Canis lupus familiaris: one gene and its partners. The protein of the gene in region 2 binds, or shares a complex with, the protein of the main gene of each other region. Links are inferred from orthologs where the notes say so. Each region holds a gene or a part of one and is shown on either strand. Other genes may lie near its edges.

Region 1 (7,147 bases), on a different chromosome or scaffold from region 2:
CTCTGCCTATGTCTCTGTCTTTCTCGCTGTGTCTCTCATGGATAAATAAATAAAATCTTTAAAAACAATAATAATAATAATCAAATCTGGCCTGAAACGTATGCATGTATGTGTGTATAGGAGAGAAAGGGGCTAGCCACAGAAATGTGGGACTATGGGATCTACACACTGCAGTGCTTTGTTTCAGTAAGTCAAGAATTTAATCATGAAACCAAGGAAATTTCCACAGGTAAGCTCCCAACAATAAGGTAGGGAAGTACATCTAACATAAAGATTTTCTAGAATCAGGACAAAAAGCTCTATCCGCAACTGATAAGTACAATCATCCTAAAGAGATTACTCCTTCTGACGTTAAGATTCTCAAAGCAGCTCTGACCAGTTGAAATGGTTAATCATCTGGTAAAAATGGATTTCTCCATCTCTGTGACACTGGCCAGCAGGCTATTACAGTAGTCACTTGTTTTCGTGGTGACAAGAATGGTTGCACCTTCCTCCATAGCTGGGAGTGGAAAGAAATGGTCAGAATCCACCTTTGATTTGCTCTTGACACAGTCTTCACAGGTACATTCTTCTACTGTGTACTCCAGGCCCCTCGAGAGAACTTCCTCGCTGGTCCTGCTATCACGGCCCTTCTCCTGGTCAGCATCCGCCTCGTTCTGGTGAGCCGATCCTGATTGTGTAGAAACAGAACGATCAACCTCAACTTCCCAGGTGGTGCCGTCCTGGCAGTCTTAGCAGGACACCTTAGGGCCCAAAGCAATGGAGACAGATCTCCTACAAAACAAATGTCCTGCACTGGGAGTCAGGAACTGACCATAGGCCACATTGGACTTTGTTTAGGCCCATACAGTGTTTTTAAGTGTTTGCTTATATGCTGTGTTGGCCTCCGTTTGTTTGTTTATTTATTTATTTATTATTTATTTATTTTAAAGATTTTATTTATTTATTCATGAGAGACACAGAGAGAGAGAGAAGCAGAGACAGAGGCAGACAGAGGAGCACGCTTCATGCCGGGAGCCCGACGTAGGACTCGATCCCGGGACTCTAGGATCACGCCCTGGACCGAAGGCAGGCACTAAACCTCTGAGCCACCCAGGGATCCCTTATTATTTATTTATTAAGATTTTATTTATTTATTCATGAGAGACACAAGGAGGGAGGCAGAGATACAGGCAGAGGAAGAAGCAGGCTCCCTCCCTACAGGGAGCCCAATGCGGGACTGGATCCCAGGACCCAGAGATCACAACCTGAGCCAAAGGCAGATCCTCAAACACTGAGCCACCCAGGTGCCCCCTGTTGGTCCACGTTTAAAAATCAAGAGATTTAGGGATCCCTGGGTGGTTCAGGGGTTTAGCGCCTGCCTTTGGCCTGGGGCACGATCCTGGAGTCCAAGGATCGAGTCCCGCATCGGTTCCCCGCATGGAGCCTGCTTCTCCCTCTGCCTCTCTCTCTCTCTCTCTCTCTCTCTCTCTGTCTATCATGAATGAATGAATGAATGAATGAATGAATGAATAAATAAATAAATAAATCTTTAAAAAAAATAAAAATCAAGAGATTAAAAAAAAAAAGCCTTCAAGGGATTTGATGTGCAAATCTAGGTAATTGGTCTCTTTCAAAAAAACAACAAATAGCTAACCTTCCTCCATGGAAACAATTGCCTGAAGTCAATAGCCGCTGTCTCCTTGAGGAAGGGCCCTGGCTATTCAACTGTTGAAACCTCCACATGGCCCGCTACATTCACTGGTTACCCACTTGGCCCTTGAAGGCATTAAGTTATGGGCTCTATTTTACACTTGTGGAAATGACAGATTACCGTATGTTACACACAAAATGAGCCTTTGGGGGACACTTTAGAATTCAAAGTAAGGATACTTCTCTTACAGACCATTTGGTATCATATCAAAAATTTTTTATATTGGGCAGCCCCCACGGCTCAGCAGTTTAGCGCTGCCTTCAGCCCAGGGTGTGATCCTGGGGACCTGGGATCAAGTCCAGCATGGGGCTCCCTGCATGGGGCCTGCTTCTCCCTCTGCGTGTGTGTGTGTGTGTGTGTGTGTGTGTGTGTGTCTATGTCTCTAATAAATAAGTAAAATCTTTTTTAAAGAAATTTTAGAATGAATTTTTTTGTGATCATGTATGGAAGGAGTCTCTGTTATGTCCCCATTTATATGTCAGTGAAGGTAAGTTTTACTACTTCCCCAACCTGCCACAGAATAACTCCATCTTCCAAAATGTCACACTTAAAGTCATTCCCCACCTGTTTCTCAGACCCCAGGCAAAAATAAAGAGAAGAAAAAAAAGAAAAAGAAAGAAAGAAAGAAAGAAAGAAAGAAAGAAAGAAAGAAAGAAAGAAAGAAAGAAAGAAAGAAAGAAAGAAAGAAAATGAGAAAAGAAAAATGAGTAAATTATGTGGAACAGCCATCTACCTCCCTTTTCTGCAAATGAGAAGACAAATGAGGGGGGTGCTTTACAGATTATACATGGAAAATAAATGCATCAGAAATAGGCCAAAGGCTGCAAAGCATTTGGGAAATCAGATCATGGGCAAAGGTGCTGCTGAAATATTTTTATCTTAAAAAGCCCTTAAGTAGAACATTCACTTCTCTCAGACTGGTTCTCTGCTGCTTAATAAAGATAATGATCTTTAAAATGACTGCTCAAATAATCCAGGAACAACTGGTTCTATTCATTTCTAGCATTTTGGGGGCAGTAAAATATTCACCAAGCAAAAAATGTTTACATTTGTATTAAAAATAAGGCCATGGATCTTGCCAAATACATTTTTCCTGATAGTAGCAGACCGAGCTTGCAGTTTCTTGAGAGTAAGTAAACGTTTAATCAATGTGCTAACTTTGGTCAAAGAGATGGATGTTTGCCAAGGAAGCCCAGTACCTCAGAAGAGTAATTACTGAGGGAAAACTATAGGGGAAGGCTAACTCTGTGGGGCACCTATAAAGAAGAGACAAACACCAAAAAGAAGACAGCTCGCTCCTGCCCCAAAGTTCATTTAATACAACCGTCCTCTAACACGCTCGAAAGGGCTCTAACCAAAGAAATAACTCAACAGGAAAAAAGAAGAGAAGGAACTCAAATCACAATAGCCACCTCTTGGAAATAGATTCCAAAGTCTGACCATTCAACCAACCTGTGTTTTTACATTCGTCCTTTGATGGTTCAGAATTCATCTTCCTTAGCAAGAACATAAACACGAAAATGGTCAAAGAAACTATCAAGCTCAGGCCCAAACAGGTCCAGAGAATTGCATTTGTTCCTTTCACTGAATTAAAAGAATATCAGAGAGATAATGAACTGACAACATAATATCCACATCAAGTAAAGATTATTTGCCATCCAATTCCCCTAATTCATCAGCACTGACTCGTAAATCCTAAATAACACTTAATTAGAAGAGTTGATAAAAATCCATGTTGCTAACAGCACTGCATCAAATTGAGCTCAATTCTGAGTAATTACTTTGGTCCCATTGGCATTCAAATACTTGCCTTGTTTCCTTTCTCTTTTTGATACAGAAGACCTCACCATCTTCCCCGCAATGTTTTTACTCTTTGAATAAGTAGTCAAAGTAGAGAAAATAGGTTACACCAACGAATGAGTTGTTCAAGCAGGATTACTTACTTGCATTACAATAATGCTGACATGGTACCGGAGGGGTATTAGAGCATCGAAGGTGACATGGTTTGCAAGCATTAAGCAATCTGTCAAAATATTCATTTTGGAAGCACTGCTGAGCCATCTGGAACTTGATCACAAAGAAAAACAAGAAAGCCCCAGAAAGAACAGCATGGAAGGACAAGTAAAATCTCGTCAGGAATTCCCCAGCAAATGTAGTGACAGCAGTTAGAATGTCGATGCGAAAAAAAAAAAAAAGAAAAAGAACTTCACAACTATGATTTAGTTCTTCTGGGCGCTCTTTGTACTTCGACTAAGGATTTGAATACCAGCTCCAATTCCGGTTTCTAAGTTTGAGGCCCGGGGAGGGTAAGAGATCAAAGCGTAAATATCAAGAGCAAACCATACCTGAAACAGAAACTGTCTATTTATAGAGGAAATTTCTATAAATAATCCAGGTGACAGTTGCAAGGTGTAGACTAGCCCGAAGCCTCAGGCAGGAAGGTTCGATAACCGCTTTGGGACCATCTGTTCACGAGCTGTGCAGTGTGATAGGCCCCCAGAGAGACACATAAGGTCTGAACCCCCTTAAGAACTTAAAATCTAACGGGGGCAATAGAAATCCACTCAACCACTGAAGGAATGAGAAAGAGAGAAAGGGGCATCAAGCATGCCTGCCAGGTTTCACACCTATGAAGAACTATGGAATTCCAACAGAAATAAGGACTTCTGGGGTTAAAGCTCAGTTAGTAAGAGGGTTTCAGGGAAGATAGGTTTGGGGCATTCATAGTCAAGTCATCCATGCTCCACTGTTGAAAATTTAGAAACAAGGGCGGACACCTGGGTGGCTCAGTAGATGAGCGTCTGCATTTGGCTCAGGGCATGATCCCGGGGTCCTAGGTTTGAGTCCTACATCAGGCTTCCCACAGGGAGCCTGCTTCTCCCTCTGCCTGTGTCTCTGCCTCTGTGTGTGTCTCTCATGAATAAATAAATAAATAAAATCTTTTTTAAAATTTAGAAAACACAAATGAGCAGATAGGTAAACTATATTTGGATGTATCACAGAAGTGTGAAGAAAGGCCTGCTGCCGTGTTCTGTTTGGTCAACCCCAATATAGATATTTCTGGAAGGATTTCTAAGGATAGATGATAGGTAGATGTATAGAGCACATTTTCCTTTTTATATAAATGGAATCACTTGCATTTGCTTTTCACCATACTGAATGGGATCCCCATAGAGAGATATCCAGAGAGGTCAGCCAGAAATTCAGGACTCAGTTAAAATGTGAGAGAATGACAAACTCCGCATTCAGTACAGTGATTATCTCTGGATATCTCTGAGGTGCAGGGAGGGTACAAAAGAGCCTCCAGTTGTGTTGGTCATATTTTATGAAGCCAAATGGTGGATACATTGGTATTTGTTGTGTTATTCTTTTGTTGTATTCTTTGTTATTATTGACACTTTTTAAAAAGATTTTATTTAAAAAATAAAGGGAGAGGCAGAGACACTGGCAGAGGGAGAAGCAGGCTTCCTGAGGGGAGCATGGTGCGGACTTGAACCCAGGACCCCGGGATCACACGACCTGAGCCAAAGGTAGATGCTCAACCAGTAAGCCACCCAGGCACCCAACACCTTTTTTTTAGTAGGCCCTGCACCCAGCCTGGAGCCCAACAGAGAGCTTAAACTCACAACCCTGAGATAGAGACCTGAACCAATATCAAGAGTCAGATGTTAAATCGACTGAGCCACCCAGGTGTCCCTACACCTTTTCATAGTTTTTAAATGGTATATAATAAATATTAAAATAGTGATGATAATAACATAAAATGCGGGAGTTAAATACAACACTTTTTTGGTTTTTAAGTGAAGGGTTTGAGCCTAAGAGAGAGTGTGGATTCAGATATTGATCAAAACCTCCCATTCCTCTGGGGTCCAGGCACTGAGGTCAGTGGGTACAGCCCAAGGGCTGCCCCAGCAGCTTCCACTCCCACGAGCTCTTGCCAGACATTGAGGCTGCCAAAGGTCATAGGAAAAGCGTGCTTAGAGAAATGGGAAGACAAAGATAACCAAGCGAGGAGAGTTTCAGGATGGGATGGGCAGTGAGGTCAAATTCTACAGAAAAGTCAGAGGCGATGCCCTAAGGAAGGAGGTCACCAGTGCCCTTTAGGTATGTTTGTGGGAAGAAGCCATACTGTAAGTACTTATGGAGTCGAGAGAAAGAGAAGCAGGCAATGTGGGCCATGCTTGGGAAGACGGGTAGAAACTAGAAGAACAGAGCTTTGACAACTCTTAGGAAAGGAAGCACAATTGCTTCTGACAGATGAGCTTGCTCAGGTGCCTGATGTCAGGTGCCCAAGGATGTTTGCTGCTACATCATTTGTATTCACAAAAGCCTGTCCATCAATGGGGCCTCGCGGTGGAATACTACACCGCCATCAAAAAGAATGTGCCAGATGTGTTCTGATGTGAACCATACATAACTGAGTGGAAAATGCAAGTTACTGAGCAAGTATGTAATCTGTTCTGCTGTGTTGATAAATAAAATAGTAAGTAAGGACACCTGGGTGGCTCAGTGGGTTAAGCATCCAACTCTTGGTCTCAACTCAGGTCTTGATCTCATCTTCTACTCTTGGGTCCTCCCCTTCCTGGTCACAAGAGAGCTGCAGCACCTCCGGACTTCATGCACCTCTTCCTTCCAAACCATCTCCCAAATAATCTCTTCTCTGTCTCTGGTTTTGTTTTTTGGTTTTTGGGGGTTTTTTAATTTTATTTATTTATTGATGAGAGACACAGAGAGAGAGAGAGAGAGGCAGAGACACAGGCAGAGAGAGAGAAGCAGGCTCCATGCAGGGAGCCCAACATGGGACTCGATTCTGGGACTTGATCAAGCCCCAGGCCGAAGGCAGGCACCAAACCCCTGAGCCACCCAGGCGTCCCTCTGTTTGTGGTTTTAAATGTGTTAACTTCCAAACCTATGTGTGCAACTCCAACCTTGTCCCTGAAATCCACACCCAACTACCAATTGTCTACTTGATGTCTCTACTTCCAAGTCAGGAGGCCCCTCAAACCTCATCGAACTACATTTGGATTCTCCAAAAAGGAGAGAGTGTATGCTGTCTCCACCAAACCTACGTTGTCATGGAATCCCATTTTCTTCAGGGACCACCGATGAACATTTAGGAATGTATGTTTCATAGACACAATTTGAGAAGGATGAAGCCAGATTAGCTCCATGATTCCCCCCAGGACTGTGATTTGGGGACTTAGCAGAGCAACATTTAAAATAAGAATATTTTAAAGTTTCATGACAGAGTTTGTTGATGTAATAACATCACCAAAACATTGCTAGGTCTGACTTCACTCTATACAGGAAAACAAACCAAAACAAAACAAAAACAAAAACCCCAAACAGGAGGAAAAACCATGCCTGAGTCAGCCCCAAGCTTCTGCACCCACTTAAAGCTCTGAAGAAGCCGAGACATTGCCTGAGACTTCCAAAGCCATTAGCCTGCTCTGC
Region 2 (7,181 bases):
TTGTTATTTAATAAAAAGATATTAAGCATTATTGGTTATATAAATTAAACAGTGAACAAATTCATTTTCATCTTCAGAGTTACAATTTGCATAAAATTCCAACAGAAACTGTCAATGGTTCTATAATGCATATAGAAAATGAATAAATAAGAACAAGAATGGACAGTTTGAAAGTAACAGGGACAACCTAAAGTTTTTGAGGCTTACTTAATAAAATCAGGACAAGGGGTGCCTGGGTGGCTCAGTCGGTTAAGTGTCCAACTTGTGGTTTTGACTCAGGTCATGACCTCGGGGTCCTGGGATTGAGCTCCACATCTGGCTTCCTGCTCAGTGGGGTATCTGCCTTTCCCTCTGCCTCTGCCACTGCCTTCAGCTCATAGTCTCTCTCTCTCTCAAATAAATAAACAAATATCTTAAAAAAAAATCAGAACTAGAATAGAAACAAACAAAAACAAAGAAAGTTGCATAGATTCAAATTATACAGAATTTTCTCAACTCCAAAGAAAGGACATTACCAAACAGAGAAAGAAAGAAAGAAAGAAAGAAAGAAAGAAAGAAAGAAAGAAAGAAAGAAAGAAAGAAAGGAGTCAAGGAGTTCCAGACAACCCTCTTGGTTACATACACATTACTCTTGTAGTACTAAGCAAATTACATTTTCCCTGCACAGAAGGATGGCATCTAAAATGACATTCAAGCCAGTTTCACCAATGAGGAATAGCAGATATGACCTGTAACTGAGGTCCTCCTCTTCAAGGAGAGGAGATCTCCTCTCAGATCTATGGACGTTATGAGTGTTAGTGTGTATATATATGGGGGGTACTATTTATTGCATATATATGTTATCTATACATATTTGATATATTTATATACATACTATATATACCTATACTAATATATATATATAATGTATATATACATACATATATACTATATAAAAGGTCTATATATATACTATATATATACTATATAAAAGGTCTATGAAAATCTCAGGCAAATTATGATTATGAAAATAGCAGTTATATCTGGGCTGTGGAAACTGGGTAAATTTTTATTCACTTGATACAATTTTTTGTTACTTTCCAAACTTTCTAAAAATTACAAATTTATTTAGAGAAAATTTTTAATCAGTATATGATTTTTGGATGCCATAGAATCACAAATTTGTAAAATTTTGCACATAGGAGGAAAATTTAAATATAATAGAGGGTATTTATGGAAGTGGGACTCTGGGAGTTAATTAATTTCTTATTCAATGTCGTTTCTTCTTAAACCTGCTATAATGAGCCCTTTGCAGCTCTTTTGCAATGGTAAAGTTAAGGATTATTCATAAACCTAATGTGCAGAGACTGGAGGATACTAGCACGGAGGTTGAAGAAGATTGAAACATTCTGACTCTATGAGATATTAAAGCTCATTATATTACAAAATACTTAACATATTTTATTTAATACAGATAAAAAGAATAATAAATCAATGAAAATGTCTCAAAATAGATTCAACTATATGTGAGAAACTTAATACAACACAGTAAGCTTTCCAATGCAAACAAGTTAAAAAGAATCATCTAATAAATTTAGTTGAGATATTAGGAATAATTTAGAAGGAAAAAAATTAAAGAAGAAAGGGTAAGTTAAAGCTAGTAGACATGATCTACCAAATGAATGCCAGGAGGATTAAGGAGTTAAATAACAGCAAACTAAAACACAAAGTTGTAAACAAGTCAAAGTGGTAGAGAATAGAATAGGCTATGTAAGAAATTATGAAGAAATACATTTTTAGCTTTAACGTATGACAGAGATCAGAAGGAAAAGTTTATCATATTACATACACAGATGTAAAATCTCTGTACACATTTTAAATAAGCAAGATATTGGGAAGATATTTACAGCAAAATTTTGATAAACAGAATGTTTAATATAGTTCATTCAAATCACAAAGAATTAGGACAAATGAGGGAAGTTATAAATAAAAATTAGCAGAAGATAAAATTAGAAGTTATGTAAATACGCAGAAATTCTTATTTGTAAGCAAATAACAAATTACATTTGAGATACTGTTTACAACTACCAAGCTAGCCAACATAAATTTTAAAAGATAAAACACTAAGAATGTGGAGAACTTGTACAGTGCATTTCTGACTACAATACATTTATAATTCATTTTGGAAGCAACATGGCAAAAGGGAGTAAGGGTGATAAAGATGTTTATCCTCTTTATTTCTGATATTCTTTCTTTGGAACATGTAATTCATCAGAAATAAGAGGGTGGCCCAGGTGGTGCAGCGGTTTAGCGCCGCCTTCGGCCCAGGATGTGATCCTGGAGTTCCAGGATCGAGTCCCACGTGGAGCCTGCTTCTCCCTCTGACTGTGTCTCTGCCTCTCTCTCTCTCTCTGTGTGTGTGTCTCTCATGAATAAATAAGTAAAATCTTAAAAAAAAAAAAAAAGAAAAAAGAAAAAAGAAATCTGCACAAAAGTTTTGGAAATGGTCATGTTAAATAACTGTGTGACAGGAAACTAACATGGATGTGTGAGAATAACTTAGTAGTAGGGAAAATGCTTATTGCATAATGATAAGTGAACACAAAAATAAATCCATAGTATATATGCTGTATTTTTTCAGTTAGGTAGGAAATACATATGATAAAATTGCAAAGTATGAAAATAATTCATGTGTTAAAGTATAGTAAAAGTACTCACATTTCCTAGTTTATATATATTTAAACCCAACTGTTTCTGATACTTGACACAAAGCATATGTAGAAAATTATGGTTTTAAGGAAGAGGTAAGAATTTTCTTTCCATGAATAAGGCAGTTAGTGAATACATTTCCAGCCAAAGCACCTAATGTGTGTGAGTGTGTGTGTGTGGTCTGACGGAAGAACACCTAGTCTCTAAGTCATGTGCTTCCCTCCACAAGTACAAATACATATGTACAGAACTACACCTGTTCTGCTCACCTCAAGGCCAACGTGAGGACTTAAGGAAATGGTAGCCGTGACAATAACTATCCCAGCATGCGCCAAGCAGGCCCATGCTGTTTGCTCAAAACGTGTTCTTTCAAAAAAAGGAAAGAGAAAGAAGAAAAGAAAAGAAAAGAAAAGAAAAGAAAAAAAAAGAAAGAAAAGAAAAGAAAAGAAAGAAAAGAAAAGAAAAGAAAAGAAAAGAAAAGAAAAGAAAAGAAAAGAAAAGGAATGATACCAGGGATTGTTTAAGTTGTGATATTATTGAATGAATGTAATGCTCTTTTTCATCGTTGAAATGCAGGAACTAGAATCAAACATTTGGGGAAGCTCTGCCCAATCCAAGGTTTCTGGAATCTCTAAGACTGTGGAATAAGTGGGACAGAAAGAAAGGCAGCAATCATGAAAGAACTCTTCCTGGAAAAGTTCCTGGAAAAGCATTAAAGAAAAGCTTTAAAATCTGTGTGTATACGCATGCATGCGTGCGTGTGTGCATGTGTGTGTGTGTAAAATGAACTTTTTTAGAACTACAGCAATAAACAAATCACAAACACACACCTGCTCCCAACAGGAGCTTCACTGGGCTGCATGGCACACAAGGTGCCCTCAGGAAGTGTTTACCTTTACCTGACTGTCCATGACTCAGGTAGACAGAACCTATACTGACCTGAAGCGCTTTCCTGCTGGAGTGATGGACACTGTTTCCAACACAGGCACGATCTATTGGAGGAAGACTCTGGGCTCTTTCTCATCCTTTATGCTGCCAGGACAGCAGGGCCCTCACTATGCTCATTGGAGGACAAAACGTGGCGTGCAGGCTCATCAATGTGCCAATGCACAGGCTGTGCCCTAAAGCCACATCTGGTGTAAATGCACCTCTCACAGTCTTTGAGTACTGATCAATCAACTCTCGGGACCTCAAAGCAGAGGCCAGCCTCCACACCTGTGGATGCCAGGCTCCCTGGCTCCCAAATGCTTCTGCACCCAAAACTTACCTGTTTCTTCCGGCCCCTGAATGGCACGCTTGTTTCTGCTGCTTTGGCTGGAGTTGCCTTCTCCTGCAGCGGATGGTGCCAAGATTCCCTAAGGAGAGAAAAACCCCAAGTTATTGCAAAGATATCTGAGGTGTGGGGGGCAGTGGTGCGGGGCAAACCTGGGGCCGCAGCTGCTGCAAACTCACGTTCAGAGCTGAGGTGACAGCTGGGGTCTCCCGCATGGCTGCCCTGGGGGCCCTGGCTCTGGCCTGCGGAGGGCCTGGCAGCCGCTCAGGCTCAGCGTGCTGTTCCCGCAGCTCCGCCCGGAGGCTCCCCAGCTCCGCTTGCAAGGCAGCCGCCCTGTGGAAAGACACCACGGAGAGGCAGCAGGCCGTCAGGGCCAGTAGCAGGGTCACGGCCAGCAGCGTTCCATCTTTGGAGCATGGGACAGAGGGGCTTTCCTTCAGGGGGAGGATGGAGACACACTCCTTCAGTTTCATTTCTTCTCCCCTCTCAAGGCAAGGAGAAAGGCGTGACTGCTGGCCTTCTGTGCAGCCATCCATGGCACTCCCGCAACTTTGAAGGTTTGGACCTTTCGAGTAAGTGAGCGCAGGGACCGGATCATTTCCTGTGAGCTGTGCTTGCTCATGTCCTACACGGACTACATGGCCTGGCCCCGTGGTCGCCCTCAGGAGAGCTCTCCTGAGCTTCCCTCCGTCTGCCTGGCCGCATCGCGGGGCCCCCCCGGTATGATAGGTCTTCCTGGCACTGGCCCTTCTATTCGATTGCCCAATCATTTCCTCATTTCACTTTCAGTTTTTGTAAGAATTTTAATCGCATCTAAGACACACACACACACACACACAAACGGGCCTCGGGCATCCATTGGTATGACAGGACATGGGGTTTGAGCTGGTACACTTGGGACAGCTGGACAGGTACCGGAGGAGCCGCCGGTGGCAGGACGGGAGCCACTCTGCTCGGGGCCACATGGCTTCGGAGGGCAGGGGAAAACACACTGACGTTCCTGCTGCTGTAATAAAAATAATTAATGCGAAGGTCAGATAAGCTAAGTACTAGCACTGAACTGTACTCAGCTGGAGAATGATTTATGAACAGTTTCAGAGTAGGAAATAAAACGAGATTTCCTCAGGGGAGGCACAGACATCCACTGGGGAATATTCTTTTTATTATTATCTTAGCAATGAGATAAAAAGAATGTGACTAAATTTGGGGGATGTAGTTAGATTACACATGAGGGCTTCTTTATATGCAGGGGATGCATTTTGAAGGGAAACATGTGTACTGCGTTCCTTCTGGGACTCACTGCCCGGCAGGCAGCCACGCACAGGACGGCCAAGCTGGGAAGCACTCCCACTAAGCTCCAAGTGTCCGCTCAGGCCGACAGCATCTGGGAAAACTGGCCTTATCTCCAGCTCCAAGTGCCTCAGTCCAGCCCACCATGAACTAAGTGCTCTTTCCCTAAAGCAGCTAATCTACTGGTCCTTATTAGGTTGACCCTGCCCCAATCTACTGTGTCTGTGAACAACCTGATTCAGCCCAGAGTCATGGTAGCTCCAAATCATGGCTGCTGGATGTGGTCTTGCCGCCAAGACACGTCTTGATGGCTAGCTCCTGAGTACTTCCTGGGGTCTGGCTGCTCGGCTCCTAGGACCTGCATGTTGTGTCAGGAGCTCACACTTCAACAAATGCTACTGAGCAATTGCCAAGGCCTGGCTGGGCCTGAGTCCTCCATGTGCCACGACTGGAGCGCTAGCTCTGTCTCACATGATGTCCCTATGCCAGCTTCAAAAGGAAAGTCACAGAAATAACGTAAGTGAGGGTAGGAGCTCCAGAGCCAGGGTGTGAATCCTCACTCTCCTTGGTCAAAACACATGGTGTGTCTGGGATTCGGTTTTCTGTCTGTGAAATGGGATGGTAAGGGTCCTTGGGAACTGTAACAGGGCTTATAGGAACCAGGACAAACTAGATTTAATATGCTTCCATTTCTCATCCATTTTCACTCATGACATGAACTATTTTTCTTTATTACAAATGGCACCATCACAGACGTCTTCGTGCGGGTCTCCTTGGAATGTCTGCAGGGATTTCCCCGGGAGACACCTGCTAGGGTGTCAGCACATCTTCACCTCTGTCAGGAGTCACAGAGCAGCCTCCCTGAGGAGTTCCTGCTTCCTCCCCGGCTCACGAGGGGTGACGTCACCAGACACTCATTTTTACCTGCTAGGTTCCTTTATGTCTGTGAGTTCTAAGACCTTGTTAAATGACTTTTACAGAACTTGGAAAAAAAAAATAACACCTCTAAAAAGTTCTTTTGAAGATTACCTTGGCCGCCCAAAGCAGCTGTTCTCCGATCTCTCAGGTGAGTGCGTGAGCAGACTCCTTTGTGTCAGATGTCACGTAATACACGTCTTCTGTCATAGTTCTTGCTTCCAGGCCAATCAGGGGGACATACACTAGAGAAAAAGAAAAAAAGAAAAGAAAGAAAAGAAAAGAAAAGAAAAGAAAAGAAAAGAAAAGAAAAGAAAAGAAAAGAAAAGAAAAGGAAAAGAAAGAGAAAGAAAGAAAGAAAGAAGAAAGAAAGAAAGAAAGAAAGAAAGAAAGAAAGAAAGAAAGAAAGAAAGAAAGAAAGAAAGAAGAAAAGAAAAGGAAAGAAAAGAAAGAATCAGTTTGGGGATTATACTAAACCCTTCTGACTGAAAGTAAGGGAAGCTCACTCAGGTTTATGTGTGTGTGTTAATATTACCCAAAGACATATGGAATAAAAGAATTTGAGGCAGTGCTAGAAATTCATCGCTCTGTGCTTTTACTCAGGACACTTGTAGCCACCGCTTCTTTCTGTGAGTTGACTTTCTTCCACTTTTGGTGGGACACTCTTGTCCATATGCTGCTGTAAAAATTGCAGAGAGGGGGAATAGTTCGATTGCGTTAGAGAATTAGTTCTGCCTTCATTGCTCTTTTGGATAGACACCTTCATGGCCGACTGTCTTCAGAGAGTACCACTGACCAGCCTATGTGTAGGTCAGTTTAAAACAAGTGTCTCATCTTGGATCAAGTGGTGGGCAGCCCTAAGCATAGAGAGGGCTGGTGCTTCTTCCACAGAAGGCGGCAGGCCGGTGGCTTCCCCTGACCCAGATGTGAGGCTCACGGCTACTGCCATGTGCACATCCTTCACAGTGATCACACGACCAAATTTCTCTGAAGACAAGTGGAAACCAAGCAGCAT
Region 3 (7,243 bases), on a different chromosome or scaffold from region 2:
GCGGGACAACTCTGAGAGCAAGTATTAAAGAAATACAACACCCAGCTATAAATTAAGCATCCTCCCACTTGATCCTCTTCCTAGATTCATTCTGGTTTACGGTGGCTTTCTGGCACTGAAAGAGAAACCTCCTTCGCGACGCGCCCCCACCACTCAAAAGCACAGGAGCTCAGCCACAACCTTCCAGGGCTGCCAGAGATGGTCTGGTTTGAAGCCAAAGGCTCTGTGCCGCCGAGCCCTGTGGCCGGCCTGTAGTCTGTGGTTCTGCAGGGTTAGCTGAGGAGCAGCCTGGTTCCCAGAAGAGGGGCAGGTGGCCCCTGTGATGAAGACCTGAGTCCACCCTCCAGGCCGCTGGCTGACAGCCCACAGGGAGGACAGGGGCCACCTCCTGGCCCCTCCGGCGCTACTGTTGCTCAGGCCCGGCTGTCTTGGTGGTCACCAGCTCGGTGGAGCCCAGCTCTGTGGCTGGCACAGGGACGCTGTGGGCAGGCGGGGTGTTGGCTGGGTCTTCTCCGGCCGGAGGCCACACGGGAGCTGTCGCATCAAGGGGCCCCGGGGGGACGATGATGACATTGTCCAGGGTCTCTAGTTGGGGGAGGGGGCGCAGGGAAGGCAAGGTCAGGAAGGCTGACAGCTTTTCCCCACCCCTGTTCTGGAAGCCTCAGTGGAGGGACCGCCCCGACTGAGAAAAACCCCAAGCCCCGGCAGGGATGGGGACGGGCGGCCTGTGCTGGGCCCTCGGGACAGGAAGTGCAGATGGGAAGCGCCGGCGGAAGGGAGAAGCGGCCTCCTGTGTGGGGCTCCGGCGGCTCCGGGGCCAGGGCTGCGTCCCTCCCGGGGAACCGGCCCGAGCCGCTGCACCCCTCCCGAGCGCCCCGGCCCCGCCTCCCTGCCCCCCGCCCCGCAGAACTTACCGCGCGGGTGCGGGCGCGGGCGCGGGTCCGGGGCCCCCGGGGGAGCCGCCGCGCGCAGCCGCCGCCGCCACCTCCAGCCCAGCAGCCCCAGCAGCACGAGGGCCAGCGCCAGGCCCAGCAGCGCGGGGGCGCCGAAGAGCAGCGCGGGCAGCGGCAGCGCGGCCTCGGCCTCCGCGGCGGCCCCCGGGCCCACCGACTCCTGCGGCTGCAGCGCCGTCCCGGGCGCCAGGCTGCTGGGCCCGGCTGCTGGCGGGGCGGACGGGGAGGGGGCGCAGGGGGCGGAGGGGAGGGGCGGCCGGGAAGGGGGAGGGGCGGAGGGAGGCGAGGCTGGGCCCGGGGAGGGGGGCGGGGGAGGGGAGGGAGGGCCGGCGGGGGGCGGGGGAAGGGCAAGAGAGGGAGAGGTGAGGGCCACATGGTGACCGCCGGTCCCCACGAGGCCCCGCTTGCAGCCCCCCATCAAACCAGTCACCGCCCCCCGCCCCCGTCCCGGGTGGCCTGCGGCTCCCGCAGGTTGCGCGGTGGGGGCCCCCCCTCCTTCCCAGGGCTGCACCCCTGCTGACCAGCTGGCTGAGTGGGTCGGCTCTTACCCGGTCTGGGTTCTGGCGTCCGGAGCAGCTTGCAGGCCACGCAGTTTCGGACCAGAGGGTCAAAGCACTCGGCCTGGACGCAGCGCGTGGGGACCGGCCCGTCCCTGCCCCGCGCGCCCCTGCCCCGCGGGCCCCGCGCGCCTCTCCTGTCGCTGCCCATGCTGCCGTGCCCAGCGCTCGCTCGCGGGGGACTGAGCCTGGCTTCGGCTCCCAGAGGAGGAAACCGGGAGGGGCCGCCACCCACTGGGCCCCGCCCCACCCTCCTGCCTGCTGGGGTGGGACCACTCGCAAGGCCCCGCACCCCACACCTTCTCTTTCTACCTGTGGTTCCTCCATTCAACCACTCAACCATCACCTCCAGACGACTGCTGGGCTGGCCCTGTGCTGGGGCGCAGACCCCGCGCTCCTGGGCAGTAGAGGTTGGGCCCCTGCAGTCAGGACCTCTGGGTGGCCTCCTCTGTCCTGCTCCCCAAGGCCAGCCCACAGCCCCAGACAACCCCCACCAGCCGTGTCCTCCTCACCCCACCTGGTCCCCCTCTGGGGCTCCTTCCAGCCCTTCCCAGGCAGAGCAGGTTCGGTTCACAAGGCTTCCCGAGTGCCCAGGGTGCTGGGGAGACAGCGCCTCACGGCAGCAGTCATGGAGGGGGCTGGAAGGCTTCGGAAAGGACGGGATGGTGGGAAGGTGTCTGCCCAGCGAGATCTAGGGGAGCATGACTGACGGAAGAGGACAGAGATGGGGCCCAGAGACTGCTGGGCCCGGGGGCTGGGCTGGACTCGTGGCTGAGGGTTAAGGAGCCAGGGAACCACGCAGAGCTTTCAGCAGACGGCACCATAGTCAGACTTGGGTGACAGTGGGGAAGCTCTGGCTGGAGTAGAGGACACAGCGGGGGGAGGGAGACGGTGGCCGAGGGCCCGAGGACAGACAGCTCAGTTCCCAGATCCGAGGCAGGAGGGAGAGACTCCGATCAATAGATGAACAGACAGACCAAGACCCATGGGTCCCAGGGCTGTGTGTGTCCTGGCCTGCCTACCTCTGAGTCTCACTGGGGTCCCTTCTGTCTCTACTCTCTGGTGTTTGGCCTGTCACCCGTGTCTCTCAGATTGAGCCTCAGACACACACACAGGCCCCTCCTGCCTCCCTTGCCGTCTGCAGGGGCTGGCAGAGAGCTTCGGCGGGGATGGGGTCGGCCATCCCAGCTCAGGGCTGGGGAGCACAGAGGCAGGGGCTGCCTGGATGGGGCAGGAGCAGATTCAGCAGCTTCGAGGGGGGAGAGAACGCTTCCAGCAGAGAAGCTGGCGCTGGCGAGGGCAAAGGCAAAGAGGGGGAAGAGGGGGAAGCTGAGTCTGGAGACAGGCAAGGGGATGCTGCAGAGGAGGGGAGGCAGGGATGCTCTGGGCCTCCGCGTCAGGCTCCTGGGCCCTGGGGAGCCCCTACCAGAGCGCAGGGAGAGATGCTCTGAGCTGTGCTGCAGAAGCGACCCTGTCTCTGGCTGCTGTGGAGTTGGAGACAGGACTCCACGGTCCAGAGCAGGGGAACCATCTAGAAGCTGTTTAGGAGCAAAGAGTGATGCTGTGGTGCAAGGGGAGCAAGGCTGGCCCCGGGTTTCTGGCTCGAGGGACTCCAGCAGCCCCCTGGGTGGGCCGGCATCCAGGAGCCCTGGCCCACTGCCTCTCTGTCCTCTGCCCACGGCCCAACAACTCCAGGGCAGGAAGGTGTAGGCGTCAGGGCAGCTGCAAAGGAGAAGTGGGTCTGGGGTGGTGGGTGTGGGTGTGAGTGTGGGTGTGTGGTGAGGGGGTGGGGGGGCCGGGAGCCCAGAGAGGAGGGGGGGCCAAATCGCCACCCCCATCACTGGTGGTGCCAGTATTGCCTGGGAGCCCTTACACGGGGCCAGGCACCTCGTTAACCCTCACGCCGCCGTTGGGCCGAGCAGACTGAGTCTTGTGGGAATCTGGAGTGAGGATGGTGTCCCTGGGAGAGGGTGGCCCATGGGGCTGGTCTGGGGTCACTTACAGGAGCCACTTCTATGTGGCAGCTGCACCTGCTCCAGCACAAAGCGGGGGAGGCGGCCTTCAGGGGCCCAAGCCAGAGGGGCAGAGTGGTGATCTACCCGCGGCCTCCTAGGGCCCAGGAAGGCACGCGTCAGGGACAGGCCATGGCGAAAGGCGTGTGCGATTAGCGTCGGTGGTGTGTGCAGGTGCCTGACCCCGGACAAACCTTGTCACTTGTGACTCCTGAATGAGAAGCAGAGGGAGGCCTTGAATCCCGACTTCACAGTTAAAAAAAATTTCCCCAACAGACCAAGGTGATAAATGTTAGGTTAAATCCTCAGCAGATTCCTTATTTGGGGTTACATCTCTGAAGTCAAGATTATTATTTCTTTTTTTAAGATTTTATTTTAATATATATTTTGTTTATTTATTCATGAGAGACACACAGAGAGAGAGGCAGAGACACAGGCAGAGGGAAAAGCAGGCTCCATGCAGGGAGCCCGATGTGGGACTCGATCCCAGGTCTCTAGGATCAGGCCCTGGGCTGAAGGCGGCGCTAAACTGCTGAGCCACCCGGGCTGCCCAGATTTTATTTATTTATTCATGAGAGTCACAGAGAGAGGCAGAGACACGGGCAGAGGGGGAGAAGCAGGTTCCCTGTGGGGACCCCGATGTGAGACTCGATCCCAGGACTCCGGGATCACGAGTCTCATGCTCGCTCACTCAGGCACCCTATGATGTTACTTTTTTAAATAATCCCTACACCCTACGTGGGGCTTGAACTCACAACCCCGAGATCAAGAGTCTCACGCTCCACCGACTGAGCCAGGCCGGAACCTGATAGTTTTAAACACTTTGGTATCATCACCTCAAAGGTACTGAGTAGGAAAGAAGGGACTTTGCTGCTGAAACCCCATCTCACGGAGTGTCACTCGGTGTTCTCATGTTCTCGTTCACTGATGAAGTGTTTTACAAAGATAACTAATTTGGGGTCTTTCGGGGGAAAAGGAGTCTCTGATGATCTTTGTCCCTCAAATTCCCCCCAAAACACCCTCCCAATGGTCCGGACACGGGCGGCGCTATGATGTCGGGTTTCCAGATGGTGAGGCAGGGGCTCTGAGGGGCCAGGGATGACCCAGCTTCGGGGGAGCCAGGATAGGGCCTGTGCCCTTCATGCCTGGGGCTGGGGCTGGCGCCGGGGGCAAGGAGGAAGCTGCCGGTGGGATACGCTGGGTGCTAAGCGGGGGTGGGAAGGGTGGGGGGCATTCCCGGGGGAGACCGAGGCCCCGCTCCCCAGACCTAGATGTGAAAGTGCTCGGAGCGCCAGGACGCACTCCTTACGTGAACATCATTTTTAATTGTAATTCTGTAATACCTGCACACACTCTCATGAAAAAACCCTCAAACAATACAGAAGTCTATGAGTAAGGAGGGGCATTTCCCTGCTGTCCCCAGAGGGAGCCTGTTCTGGTTTTTTACTTTTTCATCCCATCCTGTTTCATGCCTTTAAATTGTCAGGCAAGTGCCTGGGGGGGAAACAGGTTCTGTGATTCATCAAAGGGGCCACACAGTGGGAGCTGCTCTGGGGACTTCCCTGCCCTCCTCTGCCCCGTAGCTCTCTCCTTCTATTTGGTTGTATTTTGTCTCAGGAGTGGTCAGGGGCCCCAGGGCAGGGACCCCTTTTTCATGTACTTGGCACTGGCAAATAGGACACTGCGAGGAAGCCCCTCTCACTGGGAGACAGCGGGAAGAATGTGGGGACAGGACCAGGGGCAGGAGAGGCAGAGGATCCACACGAAGTCCTGGTGAGGCTGGAGCGCCCCCAGACCCTCTCCCCTTGACCCCCTTCCATGAAGCGGTTATAAAACTCCTGTCCAGGTTTTCACAGGCCCAAGCTCCCTCATCGCCCCCACCATGTGCCCATACACACACACGTACACACATGCACGTGTGCACAGTTCAGCACGCCTCAGGGCAGGGCTCCCCAGCAGGTCTGAACACGGCCCCGGGATGGGGGACACAGGCCGTCTATGTGAGATCAGAATGGAGACCCCAGACCCGACCCTCAGCGTCTCAGCCACAGGGAACAGTCTGCACCTCCTGGGGGCTAGGCCGAAGGCTGGGGTGGGGGGCGGAAGAGCAGGGAGCCTCCCCAGGGGCTGCACCTCCCTCAGGCCCCGTTCAAGGCACCCCACAGCAGTGGGGACAAGGGCTGGGCTCTGGTCTCCCTGCAGGCTGCTGACGCACAGGCGGACCCAGAGCAGACTCCTCCATTCAGTCACCACTCACTCACGGAGACTTGCTGTGCACCAGGCACTGTTCTAGATTCCGGGGAGACGGCAGGGAAGGACAGAGACAAAATCCAAATGGGGAAACCATATAGTAGGTGAGGGTCTGAGAAGTGCTGGGGAGAAAAATTCAGGAGGGAAGGGTGTCAGGGAGGGCCCGAGGGTCAGGGAAGGCCTGGTGAGATCTTGGCACAGAGGGATGGAGGCGAGAGTGACCCCCCCAGGACCAAGGCCCAGGGAATGGCACAGTCATCCAGGAAACGGCAGTGCCCAGCACGGGCCGACCGCCTGCCTGGCCCTGTGCCCTGCAGGAGCCCACACCCCTCGCCTCAACCTGTGGGGAAATGGCACCGTGATTGCCTCTTCACAGAGAGGAAAGCAGGCTCAGAAGGATCGGGGACGAGCCAGGCGGCCCCTCAGTCCCTGAGCTCTTCCCCCACTGCTACCACCACACACACATCTCTGGAGTAACCCCCCTGGTCAGCAGGCGGGGAGGCAGATCCAGGCCTCAAGGAGCCTGCGGCCTAACACAGCAGAGGATGACCAGGTGCCAGGAGCCCTGGGCCTGGCCTTGCAGGGCTATTATATAGCCAAGCAGTAGCCCCCGGGACCCCCGAATGCCCTTGGCATTCCTCCTGACGGAAGAGGGTGGCCCCAAGGGAGGCTACCTCCTGCCCAGGTCAGGGGCGCTGGGACTCCGTGCCCTCTCTCCCTCCCAGAGTTGGGCCCCAGGGTCTGTCCACAGGGTCACACTCAGGTGGGACTCCGATTTGGGCAGGTCCTGACAACTCACTACATCGTCCCCGCCCTCCACCCCTCGAGCCTCCAGGTGTGCACGAGAAGCCTTTCCACCCGGATTCTCTGCTGCTCGACTGTGGTCCAGGGGAGGCCCAGGGAAAGAGGTTAAGCCAGCAGGTGCCTGGTGGGAAGGGGACCTTTCTGCTGGAGTCCGTCAGGCAGGCCTGGCCCAGCACCAGGTGTGGGAGGTGAGGGCCAGGCTGGGGCAGGGCCTTTATCTCAGGAGCTCCCCAGCACTCACCCTGCCCGCCACGCCCCTGCGCAGCGGCAGCCAACCCCAGGACGGTCTGTGCGGGGCACACACGGGCGGGCACAACAGGCACGTCAGGCTCTTTGGTTTCTCTGAGCCTTACGAGAACCTCAAGAGACTGTGGGGACAGGAAGACAGGAAGTGAGCTGCCCCGGGTCACACTGCAAGTTGGCCACAGACCCCAAGTCAGTGAGACTCACAGGCTGGGTCCTTTCCCACTGCATCACTTCCCCTCCGGGACCAGGCTGCCCTGTCGGAGCCGCAGCCCGAGGCCGCCCCAGCCTCTGCTCAGCGAGGGGTGAAGGAGACACAGGTGCCAGGCTGCAGAGCCCCCTCCTCACTGGCGCGGGAAACAGCGTTAGACCGGGGCCAGGACACACAGGCCCGGCCATCTCCTACGAAGTGAGTTCCCTGGGG

Evidence for each region.
Region 1: the proteins of TNFSF13B (region 2) and TNFRSF17 are in contact, whole or in part, in a crystal structure (PDB 1OQD), measured with the Homo sapiens proteins. The link is inferred for Canis lupus familiaris from reciprocal best matches to the Homo sapiens genes TNFSF13B and TNFRSF17. Residues at the interface, in NP_006564.1 of Homo sapiens: Ser162, Tyr163, Lys204, Thr205, Tyr206, Ala207, Met208, Gly209, His210, Arg231, Cys232, Ile233, Glu238, Pro264, Arg265, Glu266, Asn267; in NP_001183.2 of Homo sapiens: Tyr13, Asp15, Ser16, Leu17, Leu18, His19, Ile22, Arg27, Ser29, Ser30, Asn31, Thr32, Pro33, Pro34, Leu35.
Region 3: the proteins of TNFSF13B (region 2) and TNFRSF13C are in contact, whole or in part, in a crystal structure (PDB 1OQE), measured with the Homo sapiens proteins. The link is inferred for Canis lupus familiaris from reciprocal best matches to the Homo sapiens genes TNFSF13B and TNFRSF13C. Residues at the interface, in NP_006564.1 of Homo sapiens: Ser162, Tyr163, Asp203, Thr205, Tyr206, Ala207, Met208, Gly209, His210, Leu211, Thr228, Arg231, Cys232, Ile233, Pro264, Arg265, Glu266, Asn267, Ala268; in NP_443177.1 of Homo sapiens: Asp26, Leu27, Leu28, Val29, Arg30, Val33, Leu37, Leu38, Arg39, Pro41, Arg42.

What each region holds. Positions count from the first base shown.
Region 1 is NC_049227.1:31,132,012-31,139,158, forward strand, and holds TNFRSF17 (tumor necrosis factor receptor superfamily member 17), read right to left. Parts: upstream 3,989-7,147; 5' UTR 3,755-3,988; coding exon 3,637-3,754; intron 3,278-3,636; coding exon 3,146-3,277; intron 671-3,145; coding exon 393-670; 3' UTR 178-392; downstream 1-177. UniProt on the Homo sapiens protein: Receptor for TNFSF13B/BLyS/BAFF and TNFSF13/APRIL. Promotes B-cell survival and plays a role in the regulation of humoral immunity. Activates NF-kappa-B and JNK.
Region 2 is NC_049243.1:57,181,567-57,188,747, reverse strand, and holds the start of TNFSF13B (tumor necrosis factor ligand superfamily member 13B), read right to left. Parts: upstream 4,729-7,181; 5' UTR 4,498-4,728; coding exon 4,141-4,497; intron 4,044-4,140; coding exon 3,956-4,043; intron 1-3,955. UniProt on the Homo sapiens protein: Cytokine that binds to TNFRSF13B/TACI and TNFRSF17/BCMA. TNFSF13/APRIL binds to the same 2 receptors. Together, they form a 2 ligands -2 receptors pathway involved in the stimulation of B- and T-cell function and the regulation of humoral immunity.
Region 3 is NC_049231.1:24,385,009-24,392,251, reverse strand, and holds the start of TNFRSF13C (tumor necrosis factor receptor superfamily member 13C), read right to left. Parts: upstream 3,928-7,243; 5' UTR 1,854-3,927; coding exon 1,502-1,853; intron 1,161-1,501; coding exon 915-1,160; intron 586-914; coding exon 404-585; 3' UTR 1-403. UniProt on the Homo sapiens protein: B-cell receptor specific for TNFSF13B/TALL1/BAFF/BLyS. Promotes the survival of mature B-cells and the B-cell response.